Linked DNA regions of Neodiprion lecontei. The protein of the gene in region 2 purifies or fractionates together with the protein of the main gene of each other region. This does not show direct contact. Links are inferred from orthologs where the notes say so. Each region holds a gene or a part of one and is shown on either strand. Other genes may lie near its edges.

Evidence for each region.
Region 1: the proteins of DNA replication licensing factor Mcm7 (region 2) and cell division control protein 45 homolog purify together in Drosophila melanogaster (affinity purification with western blotting; 3 studies listed by BioGRID, with this or other methods). This does not show direct contact. The link is inferred for Neodiprion lecontei from reciprocal best matches to the Drosophila melanogaster genes Mcm7 and Cdc45.

The regions. Positions count from the first base shown.
Region 1 is NC_060262.1:27,231,145-27,238,851, forward strand, and holds cell division control protein 45 homolog, read right to left. Parts: upstream 5,874-7,707; 5' UTR 5,500-5,873; coding exon 5,449-5,499; intron 4,618-5,448; coding exon 4,465-4,617; intron 4,049-4,464; coding exon 3,839-4,048; intron 3,399-3,838; coding exon 3,216-3,398; intron 3,112-3,215; coding exon 2,882-3,111; intron 2,768-2,881; coding exon 2,431-2,767; intron 2,354-2,430; coding exon 1,959-2,353; intron 1,686-1,958; coding exon 1,609-1,685; intron 1,542-1,608; coding exon 1,474-1,541; 3' UTR 591-1,473; downstream 1-590. Other genes in the region: probable 18S rRNA (guanine-N(7))-methyltransferase, read left to right, coding at 6,288-6,326, 6,416-6,453, 6,542-6,720, 6,901-7,327, 7,494-7,638.
Region 2 is NC_060261.1:14,200,740-14,205,963, reverse strand, and holds the start of DNA replication licensing factor Mcm7, read right to left. Parts: upstream 3,103-5,224; 5' UTR 2,817-3,102; coding exon 2,777-2,816; intron 2,311-2,776; exon of another isoform or gene 2,290-2,310; intron 781-2,289; coding exon 572-780; intron 168-571; coding exon 4-167; intron 1-3.

The DNA.
Region 1 (7,707 bases), on a different chromosome or scaffold from region 2:
CTTGAAAACCAACTTCATCACTCCACACTACGTATTTCTCGAAGTTCAACTCTTGACAAGTTGTAAGGGGGTGGAAAAGTTTATATAGAAAAACAAATCATTCAAAAAAAAAAATCTATTGAATACTCTCCAATAAAAATTACTTTTTTTTTCATTTGTAATTTGTAATGTTACTTATCAATTACATATTACTTTTTTAAATTTATAATGCAGCACACATCCGTTACACATTATGCAGTGTAATGTGTAATGAATATAGTAATGCATTATCAAAGTAATGTTCACAACTCTGATTCCTTCTTAGCAAAATTTTAAATGGTGCAGTTCTCTCACTGAGGGTAACGCATTCAACTATCGATTGTAGCTGCATGCTTCAGTTTCCGCGTTTTAGAATGTGCCAGTTACAAAATATGGGCACGTTGTATTCATAAAATATTTATGAATACTTCAAGGTGGTCTGGAATATACAGTTTGTGAATGAGCTGATGTTGATGAAACTTGCGAGTTTGCAATTTACTGTAGAAACCAGAGGTGTGATAACAAAAACGTATACAGCGTTTAAGTTGGGATTGACAACAAATATCTTCAACTCATTTTTAAAAAACGCATGTATTTATTCGGTTCACTTTTACTTATTGCGTAATGTCTGTATCAAATTATCATATTAATGTTCGACGGTTGACCATGACCCTAAGTTATAAATTGATGCTTACATTATCGTTAGAGCTAAGTCTAGTATCACTCTTAAAATCATTCTATGTACAATAAAGAGTTTATTATTCATTCGAACACATCCGTGGCTAAACTTCAGAGTGACGTGACTCCTGTACCCAAGCACACAAGAGATGCCCGTTTACGGCGTAGCCACCGGAATCAAATACTCAAGAGTATATTTTACGAATTCAATATTCTCATTCCATTTTATACAAAGCTAATAAATCTGCTTTACTAAAGTTTACTTCACATATGGTGAACTGACAAAAAATTAGTGAGACTCATAAGTAAACGAATTAGTGACAGTAACTTATAGTAGTTCGATCGCATCCTAATTGTTGGAAAAAATTCGTCAAACAAGTCGTAAAATAAAACAAGACTTTTTGAAGTCCCTTATTAACGATTCAATCAAGAAATTTGATATTCTGCAAATCCGTGTATTGATGACCAGTACATTGAAACTGTCAAATATTACCTGAATGCTTAAAATTTGTAAAGGAAATCTAGTTATAGGTAATGTGAAATTAGATTAATATGTCAAATAAATTAAACTACAGATTCGATTAAAATAAAGTTAAAGCTTGTTACGTCGCTGGTTCTAAAATATGTCTGGGTTTAGAAATGTTGATCATAATACCCATAGTTGCATTGTTATACATTGCTAATCACCTGTGAGCAGGTGATCTGAATTGTATAGGTAGATTGATATCCACTACAATAAAAACTATAAACTAAATTTTAATATTTCTACTTAACTATTTATATAATCAGGAGCGCTGTCAATGCATCAAAGAACTTTGGCCGCTCTTGAATCTTCAGTCTTATTACTGGTAAACATGAAAATAACAATATTTGTAAATATTAAATAAAAGTTTTTCAAGTTTTATTACTCACTTGTTGTATCGAAGTAGTCCGCCTCTATATACGAATTGGTATTTTTAGCAGCTTGCTCGAATGCCCTTCCAAAGAGGCTAGTAATGTTAAATTCATGAGTCAGATAGTAATTCACATTTTTACAGCGACAAGTTTACGTTGCGAGGATTTTCATAATGCAAGATTACGTTAGACACAAATTTTTTTTACTTTACATATTCAGTTGCCAATTAATCATATACTTTGAATATATAATTTTTGAGAATTTTCTTTGTTTGCAATTCTGCGTGTGAATATGCATGCGGACTGTGCGGTTTGTGATTTGTTGAAGAGTCATTTTGCGAAAAATTGACATGCAAACGTTATCTCACCTTCTAGGTTGATCTTCGCATAGTGGTGGTATACCAACAACGAGGCAAGTACCGTCTTCTTCGCTGAAAGGTGCAGTAGCAATCAGTGGCCACTTAGTTGCGTTCCTGTATCTTGATGTTTCTACGTATGCTTTTAGTGTAAACTGTGCCAACATGATCAATGCGTGCTCATGTGCAAATAATCGAGTATCTAACGTGCCATCTTGGATAACAATATAAAGAAATGGACCTGCATTCTTTACTTGTTTCATTTCTAAGATGCCTTGAGCTGTCTTATAAATGTTGCTAAGCATTAGTTTTGCCTTTTCTATGCCTCTTTCTACAACATCTTTCTTCTTGCGAGATAGACAGTCCAAAGCATCTAAAAAGCAGTGTTGTGGTAATCTTTCTTTTGTCTGCAAAGAAACAAGTTTGTCGGTTTGTAGTTTGAAAGTGTTGGAAATATGGTTCATGGAAACTTATCAAAACCCACCGTGGACTCAAGTAAGGCCAGCATAGAGTATACCACGTCTGAGGCACAGTATTTAAATCTATATCCGTACTGCAGGGTAAAACTAGCACCAACAATGCTGTCAACATTGTATTTCGATGCTAATTTTTCAATCATCTGTTTAAACTCGTGTCGTAAGCTGAGATCCATGGCTGAAAATCGTTGCTTAGATTGTGCCAGAGGTAAACCCATCTCAGCCAGGAGTTCCCTAAGGCGATTTTCACCTCTTAAAGACCATAAGCGAAGAGAAACCGCCGTTGGTACGGAATGTTTTAGACTGGCTTCAACTGTCCAATGACGATACAGAGCCAACTGAAGGCTGTTAAATGTTACTAAGGAATTTACTAGTCTTGATATTCACTATTAATTATTTCTTCTGTATTCTTATGAAACTACAAAATGTATATAACATGCACGAATTTATGAAGGATACTCCTTGTCGTAAGTAAGTTTGACTGCTGTGGCGTGTTGCTTTTCACTGTCCGTAACTCTATGACTTAGTCTCGAAACGTGACTCTGGAGATTTCCTGTTTCTAAAACACTAACCCTGGATTCAACTTTTCCAAGAATTGCTTGTTCTGTAGCTCCTATAATCCCCCACCACGCCACGTCCAACGTATCTCGTGAGAGTTTCCATGCTAACTCATAGATTATCACAGCACTCTAAGGGTAAGCCATACATTAAAGCCTACGTTTTTTGAAACTCCCTAGTTAGTACAGCCATGTTTACAGATAAGTATTTAGATAAATTATTTGTTATTTCATACCGATCGACCATAGTAGCTGTATTGTGTGTAATTAAACATAATTTGTGTTCTACTCGCATCCCACAACCTTCGATTTCTTCGTTTTTCAATTTCTTCTTCATTCAATCGCCGACGTTTCGATAGCCTACTTTCTGCCGCCACACTCGAATCATCTTCATCTGTGTCTTCTTCTTCTTCATCAGACTGAATAGTGAAGCAAGTTCAGAATTGAAAAGAGGGCAATTATTAGTGCAAGCACTGTCAACTCCCATATGAGTTTGAAGTTGGTAATGTTAATGTAATGAAACATGAAGTAAAAATCATCACTTTGTAAATAATGCAACTGCAATTGCAAAGTAAATATGTTCTACTTCATTCCAATAGATGAAATGATAATTCCGTCTGAAAATTATCTGTTACATTACCGCTATCAGCTTCAACCTGTTACCCCTATTCTTAGCAGAATGTTCTCAACAAAACTACCATAATTGATGTTGTATTTATAAAATCCATCAAACAAATTATTTTATATAATAAAGTAACAACAAATATTTTTAAAAAGCTTCATATAATCTGTACGATAAATCTTTATTAAGCTTGATAAGTTTACGAGAAATCTATTATATAGGTTAAATGATACTTACAGAATTATCTCTAAAGACCTCGGTATATTCTGGTATCTTTTCTTCATTGTCAGGCTGACCTAGGATTCTGACTTGACTCTCTGAATAGACGTTGCATAAATCGTAAGGTCTATGACTGTCGAGAATGTAAAATACCACACTTTCATCTGGCTGTAGAAGTTCCACAATATCCAATGTTCCACCACAATTTACTAATATTACGTATTTCACCTAATACAGTAAAATATATTAATAAAATATAAACATCTATAAGTATTCTCTTTATTGATCTGTCAAATTAGATGTATTTCAATAGTTTCATAGTGAATAATAAACCAAGGTTTAGAAAATATTAATTCCTGTGTTTTTTAATTTCAATGCGTAGATCTTGCAAAAGTTTCTATGTTTTTGTTCGTTCATGTTTGTGCCATCAATTACACCTCAAGATGAAAAAATACATAGAACTGAATATATACGACTTCATGATTATACAGAAATAAAGAAATAGAACAAAAACTAAGAACATTTACTGACGAAAAAACATTGGAATAAGTGATAATGAATCTTTTACTTTATTATCTGGACCGTGAACTTGAATATGTATTGTTCTACTGGTTATACAAAGGAGCAAAGATTTTGATGGTTACCTCTTCACAGTTCTCTTCATATGCTTGAACTAAGTCTTGAATTCCACGCACAGGAACCAGTGTATATACAATGTTGTCATTTTTTAAAAGGTACTGCAATATTTTGCATGCACATATTGCATCGATGTCAAAATTGACTAACAATAAGCATCTCTAAAAACAAAGGAAAATTCAATCGTTAGTATATAAACAATGGTTTAGCACAGTTGACTTTGTTGACGAATGGTTCTTAGGATAATGATTAATAAACCAAGAAATAAATAGAAATAAGTGCTAAGATCAAGGAAAATGCATTATCTATAGGAAACAAAATCCTTTAATAAATTTATATGAGAACATTTGGTTCAACGACATAAACAAACGGACACTACTGTAATAGTTGATCAAATGTGTTTTTCGAAAAAATTAGGTACTCTCGGTGATAAGGTTGCAAGTTAAGTATTGTCAAGATCGAAATTTCAAAACACTGAAATTTTTTAAGGCTGTGTGACTTAAGGAAAACATTCAAAAATCAGATGGCAACACCCAACACGTAAATAAGTATGCAAGGAAGAAAAAGGGCGCCTAAATCATATGGTTTACCACTCCGAATTTTCGTCTTTTTATATTCACACTACTCTTAAGCTAATAAAAATTATTATAAGGTCGAAGAGCGAGCACAAAACCGGAAACAAAAGTTACAAAATGATAAACGGAATAATGAAAAGAACGGGACTGTTTACTTACGTATTTACATCAGTTCTAACGACTCATTTTCTCATCATTTTCAAAGACAACGAGTGAAAGAAAGACACGATTAAATATCGAATAATTCGATACAAAGTAATTAAGTACAGTTAGAAAATTGGGTCAGATTTCAAAATACTTTATTGTTAATTAGTCGTGCAATTAGGCAACCTCAAAAATTACCTCTCCGAGAGAGAGGCACACGTAAACCATTCCTCTCGTCATTGTACAGAGATCAGTCGTAAAATATTCACTTACGTTTCCTAATATTTCGTTATAAAACTCAGTTTGAATATTGTCCAAAAACATGATGCCCTCGTCAAACACATGGAAGAGGAATTTTTATTTTACAATCGTCAAAACACCACCATGATCCGTTTGCAAACTGCGAATACCGCGAGGCGCGAACGACGACTGTGGGACTGCGCAGTGCGCAGCAGCTGCTCTCTGCTCTCGACGCGCTCCTGTGGTATTCACTGGCGTTTTACCAAGTTCCAGTATTTCAAACAATTTCAAAGTATGACTTTCAATCTTTGCGAAAGGAAATCACTACAGAATCATAGAGCTTATACTAGAATGCGTGAAAACACAAGGGAATCACAGTTCGATACCCTAATACGGTTCTGTGTATTGATTATAAGGTTGACTGACTCCCGCCGATAAAGAAGCTACCGAGTCGTTAACACGGCTTTTTGTGGCCAAGTCCACTTACTCGTAAAGTTCTGATTGAGAAAATTTCCCCAAGATGAACGTCTTTGAAATCTTCCGTCAACGCTGTAGAACGCCAACGTGTTTTCAAATGATTATTTTTTACGCTAAATTTCAGTCGCACGCATAAAGTACGGAAAAGTAATTACTCAGATTATCATACACTAATCTCTGGTGCAGCATAGGGCAAATGAATGGACAAACGCAGAGCGGAACTTATAAGACCACGTGACAATTGACCAATCAGTGCATTCGATAACTAAATCGCCCAAGCCAAGGAACGGCCTCGTGACCTCGCCAAGCACGTGTCATGTCAAAGTGGTGTATGATATTAATAACGTTATTCTCCGGAACTTGATTTGTCTCGAAAAGAAGCAACAGATTGGAACATGTCTAGACGACCAGAGCATTCGGCACCGCCTGAAGTGGTACGATTAGACATCCACTTCTACTATTCGTACGTCTGAATGACTTCTAGGTTACCTCAAATAATTGTTACGTTTTCTGTTATTTACAGTTCTACAATGAAGTGGAAGCACAGAAATACACACAGAAGTATGAGTCTATTTTTGCGACAATATATCCGGTGATACCGAATTTGCTCAAAACTTGTCTCGTTTGACTCCAAAACTTACATTTTTAGTTCTCGGATGATGGATATTCAAGTTCAAATGTGCGAACGAGCCATTGAATTGCTGTTGTTACCTGAAGACGAGCCATGCCTTCTTCTTGACATTGGTTGTGGATCTGGACTTAGCGGAAGCGTATTAGAAGACCAAGGCCACACGTGGATCGGTATCGATATATCTCCTGCAATGTTGAGTATGTTTCGACTATTACATTGGGTATTTTCTAAAACTGTCATATAATGTTCTTTTTGACTTAGTGTCGTAATTGTTCATTTTCATTTGGTGAATGTGGACGAAAATTATAAACAATGAAAAATTCCCAATGTTTGGAGACGCTTAGGATCAAATTGTAAATGTATTCTTGTTATTTCAGACGTAGCTAAAGAGCGGGAGGTTGAGGGTGATCTTATTCTGAGTGATATGGGACAAGGGGTGCCTTTTAGAGCTGGCAGCTTTGATGGAGCTGTGAGCATATCTGCGTTACAGTGGCTTTGCAATGCTGACAAAACTTCACACAATCCAGTCAAACGACTGTATCAGTTCTTTTCCTCCCTTTTCGCTTCATTAGGAAGGACAGCTAGAGCTGTCTTTCAATTTTATCCAGAAAATAGCGACCAGATTGAGTTGGTCACAACGCAAGCGACCAAAGCTGGGTTCTTTGGTGGTATAGTTGTTGATTTTCCAAACAGTACCAAGGCTAAAAAATTCTTTCTAGTTCTGATGACTGGTGGCGCAATGCCTCTTCCTAAGGCATTGGGAACTGGTGATGATAATACTGTAGTGAATTACGCGTCAAAAAGGTGTGTGGGAGTTCTAATACTATACCAAATTCAGAAACCATATTCAAACAAAGTTATAGAATTGTTAATAGCTTTTGGATTCCTTAATTTTTCTTTTGTTGAATAATTAATTTAATAATTTAATTGTATTGGGATACTGACGATTTCTTTTTCTTAAAAATTATAGGGAGCGAACTATGAAGGTACGCGGAAAGGCACTAAAGAAAAGTAGAGAGTGGATTTTGGAAAAGAAAGAGAGAAGACGGAGACAGGGCAAGGAGGTCAGAGATAATTCAAAATATACGGGCCGAAAGAGGAGTGGTCGGTTCTGAAATCTCTTAATTCTATCAGCTGTAACTACTCGTAATAATAGTTTATTTAAATTAACAAATATTCTCAGC
Region 2 (5,224 bases):
CACAATCGTCGCATGAGCTCTGGTGGATAATTGTTTCTTGGGTCCCTCTGATCTCCAGGATGTCTGTTGCGTTGCTCCATCAACAAACGATGCTCAATATAAACATCCAATGAATCTTTAGGTGGTACGACTCTTTCTTTAAAGTCGGGTAACATTTCCTGGACTATCTAAAGGATGAGATTGAAATTCGTAACATTGAAAAACATCATTTTGTAACTTAGGAATTAAACTGAAGGGTTTGCATTTGAAAAATGTGATTATGTTTTGCATCATATCGTTTTACTAAATTTTGAACAATTTTATACTGTTTAATAGAGATTTTTCTGAAAAATCTATTGTTGCATATTAATATTACGAATTTTCATCCCATCTGACACAGAATGACACAAATTGTTTCTGTATAAACAAAGTGCGGACTTCCAAGGTGAAATTGGGTATTAGTTTTCTGAAGGCTCTGTTCAATTTTATAAGTTGACTTGACAAATAGCAGCTACAAGCTTTGAAAATTACTAACAGTTTTCTGTCAAAAATAAGAGAAATGCTTTCAATGATTACTCTTCTCTCATTGTACCTCTGATACTAATGTAGTATAACGACGAGTATTATATTGTATAGCTTCAGCCAATTCGTCATCAAATTCAGCGACGTCGTCAAGTTCAATGATAAATGCAACTTGCTCTCTATGAGCAATATTGGTGAGTTGAGTGCGATATTTAAACGTCTTATCGCCTGATTTATCATCCATTTTCGCATACTCGGCAAAGAACTGCTTGAGCTGTTCTGTAACAAAGATCAGGTACTTGGTGTGAGTCACTCAGTATTGGTGAAAATTACTTAATGTCAAAATAGAGATAATGGATTATTGCCGCATTCAGTCCATGACACAATTTCAGTTTATACTACCTGAAGGAAGCATTTCAAACTGTTCAGACCCTTGTGCATCACCTTAACAAATATCAATTCTAATTCCGTTATACAGTTAAAGTTGGGAGTTAATGTGAGTGGCTGAATCTAATAACTTTGATTAAAACCATTTAAGTTATGTCGATGACGACGCAAGCTTATTTCTAAACCATATTATATATATACCATATATACCATACCACCAGTTATTGTGCACAAGTTACACCGAGATCACACAGCAGAGGTTCCAATGAGTTTGGTTTTCGATACCCCACCGCCAGAGGTTTTTTAAATCATCGTGATCTATTGCTATTGAAAACTACAAGATACACACGAGGTACCTATAGAGTGGTTAAGTTATTTGCAATTTCTTTTGTGAATGTAATTTTTCCAAGTTTTATTATTTATTTGTGATTTTATTCATAGTTCATGGCAGCTACCAAAGATAGTCAAAAAAATTCTGTGACTTTTCTCAAACTTTTCCTGACCAAATTATAATTTTTCCCTGACTAAAATCTGAACTATTAGGGTCAATTCGAGTATCTAATAAATAAAGCTCCCAATCAATCAGTATTCAAAAATATGTTTATGATTTATTTAATGGTCATGGAACTGAGCACATGAGAAAAATTTGTTCTTAGAATTTAGGTTCTTCGTGAGGGAAGCTTTATTCTTTTTCTTTCCATGCCACACAAAATTCTCCAACTAATTGAAAAATTCTCTGACATTCCAGTTTTCCCTGACCAGTGGCCACCCAGTAGTTAATCTCTCAGCGAAATAGTTTGTTTTTCGCTCAAAGCTTTGTCTTCAATCATTCACAGACTAAAGACAAAAAATTCCAAGTCAACAAAATTGATCTTCGGTAACAATAATTAACTTTAGGAATGTATGACACTAGTTAATCTAGTGTAACAGCATTTATCTGGAAAGACAAATTAGTATTTTTTTATTGGAATTTTCTTATATCTGTTAGAAATTGTATTTTAGCCCTATGTGAGTTGCAAAAAAAATTAATACATTTTATTATGAATTTGTTGGATAAAAATTCATCAAAATCAGCAAATCTTCTCTCTCTGTAGGTGTTCTTAAAAGAGACGAACTGGAATTCTTACAAACTTCATCGACAATCGTTGAAACATCTAAGATTCTGAAAGAAGACTTTGTGGGGACTTCCTAGTTTAATTGCTTGGATTCATTCCACATAAAATTTCTTCTTGAGATTTTTTAGTCAACACAATAAAACACAAGAACCAGAACGACTGAGAAATTGCTTCAGTATCATTACACTGTTAGTGATAAACTATTAGTGAATATTATACAATTTGTTGGAACTTCCAAAATGAACCAACTTGCAAAACTCGGTGAACAATCCAACTGTAAACCAACCATTATAGTATCAATTATGCTGCCAGTGTGTGTCACCGTCAGAGACTTGATATATGTATTAAACAAGTCAGCTGGGAAAGGAGAGATCCGGCGGTCATTCTACTGTGCAACAAGCAACAGCGAACAAGTTAACTGAGTAATTAAAATCAATATGCAATTGACTTTACGAAGACATCAGATCCCTGAACAGATTCAACTGTCAAGAATAACAACGAGGAGAGATTGTTCCCATACGACAACCCTGTAAGCCTTCTTAGGGAATTTTGACTGTTTTTTAAATTTGAACTTTTATCTCAGTTTCCTTGTTGCACGGCTCAACACAATGCCGTTGACTGACTCTCTTCGCTAATCGATTTTAACTAATAGTCAGAACTGCGAGTGCTTCAAATGCAGCTTGGAAAATAACAACACTACGTTTGAGGTTATCGAATTATCAATTGATCAATAAACTACAGGGTTAAATTACTAATTGGTTTAAGCAGCTCACCTTTGTCTTTTGTGTAGTCTCTATTTACTTTCGTAGGCATTTTTACTCTTGACTTGGTTTACCACCGACAATAATCAACCGCCAAAGTTAAAGTGATGAAACAACTGGACTTCGACTAAACACAGCAGCACGTTGGGAACAACTGACGCCGGCGAAGTTTTCCCGCCATATTTGCCGCGCAATCGCAAAAAGTAGGTGCATGTGAAAGTGCGCTAGAGGCCCCACTGTCGCTGGCAGAGTTTGGGCGCGGGTTTTGATTAGAGGTAACTTTATGCTGACTAAAGGCATGTGAATGGTATGTGTGTAACATACTTAAGATCGAATAACCGTGTTAGAAGAAAGTATTAGCCATTCTACTGAACGTTCAACTTTGTTGGCATATTGCAAATCATAAACGTCCTCGATTTACTTTTTTAACAATAACAGTCATATTACTTGCGTGCTGTACCAGCTCTATAGTTTCTTCAATCATTTTACGTGTTATTCTATCTTTTACAATTGACATCTCATCTCATTGCAGTAAATGCCGTTTCTGAAACACGGAAGCAAGAAATGCATTCACGTGATAAATTTTGGTACAAAAAAATAAACTAGGCACAGGGTAAGTAATTACAACGCTTTTTGTGGACCTCTAGTTGATACAAAAATTATACACGAGATTTGAGCAAAAGTAAAGTTTTATTTAAAAAACTATTTGTCGATTTATGATGTTAGTTATAATAAATATAATGAAATTATAATTGTGTTTGTGTATATATGTATATCGCTGGATAAAACAAACCATTGTTTATTGTAACCGCTTTATTAATCGGGATACATGCCCGCGAATAGTAGCTACAGACTGTTCAATGTTAGCCCCCATTTTTGAAGTGCTCAGTTGTGAATACATTAGTTGTTCAATTCTTAATGCAACAAAAAGAAAACAATTACTTTCCGATAAAATTTCTCCATATAATAAATGATCCTAGTATGGGTGCAACGGGATGATAATATCTAAAGGTATTGATACTTCTGTGTAGGTTTTGAGACTGTTTTAGATCTTAACTTATTCAGTAGTCACGGATTTTTGTGCATAACAGGATCATTGGAGTAATAATTATTATCCTTAAACTGTCCTAATTGATTAATATCCTAATTCTGCCTCTTAAGATTCACGAGGAATAATTCAGAAAAAATGGAAATAAGTTATATTCCTAATTACACTAGACAATAGTTCTTAAGTTCAAAATACACATTTTAGACATCATATTTATAAAATCATTATCGACCCGTATTATATTGCATCGCACATTCAATTCCGATATCCCGGGTGCAGGACGTATCATAAAATTACTACTTTACGTATTTTATTACCTTAAGGGGATCCATCCATTTTAGTGTAGACAATTTGAAAGCGCCATTAAATCATACGAAATGCATACAAGATTTTTAAAGGTAGATAGTCAGTAGTCGCGTGAGAGTAAATTTGACTTTATAGTTTGTGATTGTGATCAAAATGAAGAAAATAATTAAATAACGAGTGAACACTCAACAATTGGCTACAAAGATACGTCTTTGAATGCAGGCAATCTTTGTTCTTCTAGAATAATAGCAAATTGAATGAATTTTCATATGCCCAATAATGGATATATCCCCTTAACTTTGATCAGTATTTTCTTTTTTCTTTTTCTTTGACACAAATAAGATTGATATACAATTGTAAATATAGTTTACCGTGTTCTTCAAGCTATTAATTATATAGACTAGTTATATGCTGACGTGCGTGATTTGATGAACACTGAATAAATAATTCAGTCGACTTTGGGCCTTCTGACCACAGGATGCATTTTACTTCATAAATATATATATATTCTCTGATCTCTCGAGAACGTGCAACCAATCAGGCAGCAAATACTTTTTATAAACTTTCGCGTCTAGTCCTATATGTCTTTTCACACTACGCTTACATGAGGAAAAAAAGTGATTTTCCGTTCAGGATTAATATTTTCAGGATATTCCGTTCAGGATAATCACTTTTTCACGAATTCTATTACAATCATCACATATGTTGATCTAGCAATGCTTAGCAATAGCCGCATAGTTGAAATTCAAATAGTTCTCCACAACACTATCCCTAAGTTCAAAAAAATACATTGATCATGTTCATTACATTACGTTCCGTGCAAGTGTTGTTGAGCTGACTAATAATAAAATGACACGATCGTATATACATAATTTGTTTACGTGTAAGAAAAATGACATCCAGCTGATTCAGCTCAATATACTAGGGCATGTTTGAAACCAAAAACGTGATATTATAATGAAACAAGTATGCTGTTTTTCACTCAAAAAATGTGAAAATAACCATGGAATGTGCTTTTTTAATGTGTGCAGGTATACGTATGTATATACGATAATCTAACAAATGTTTTTAGTCGTTTCTAAGACGGAATTGTACAACCATATTCA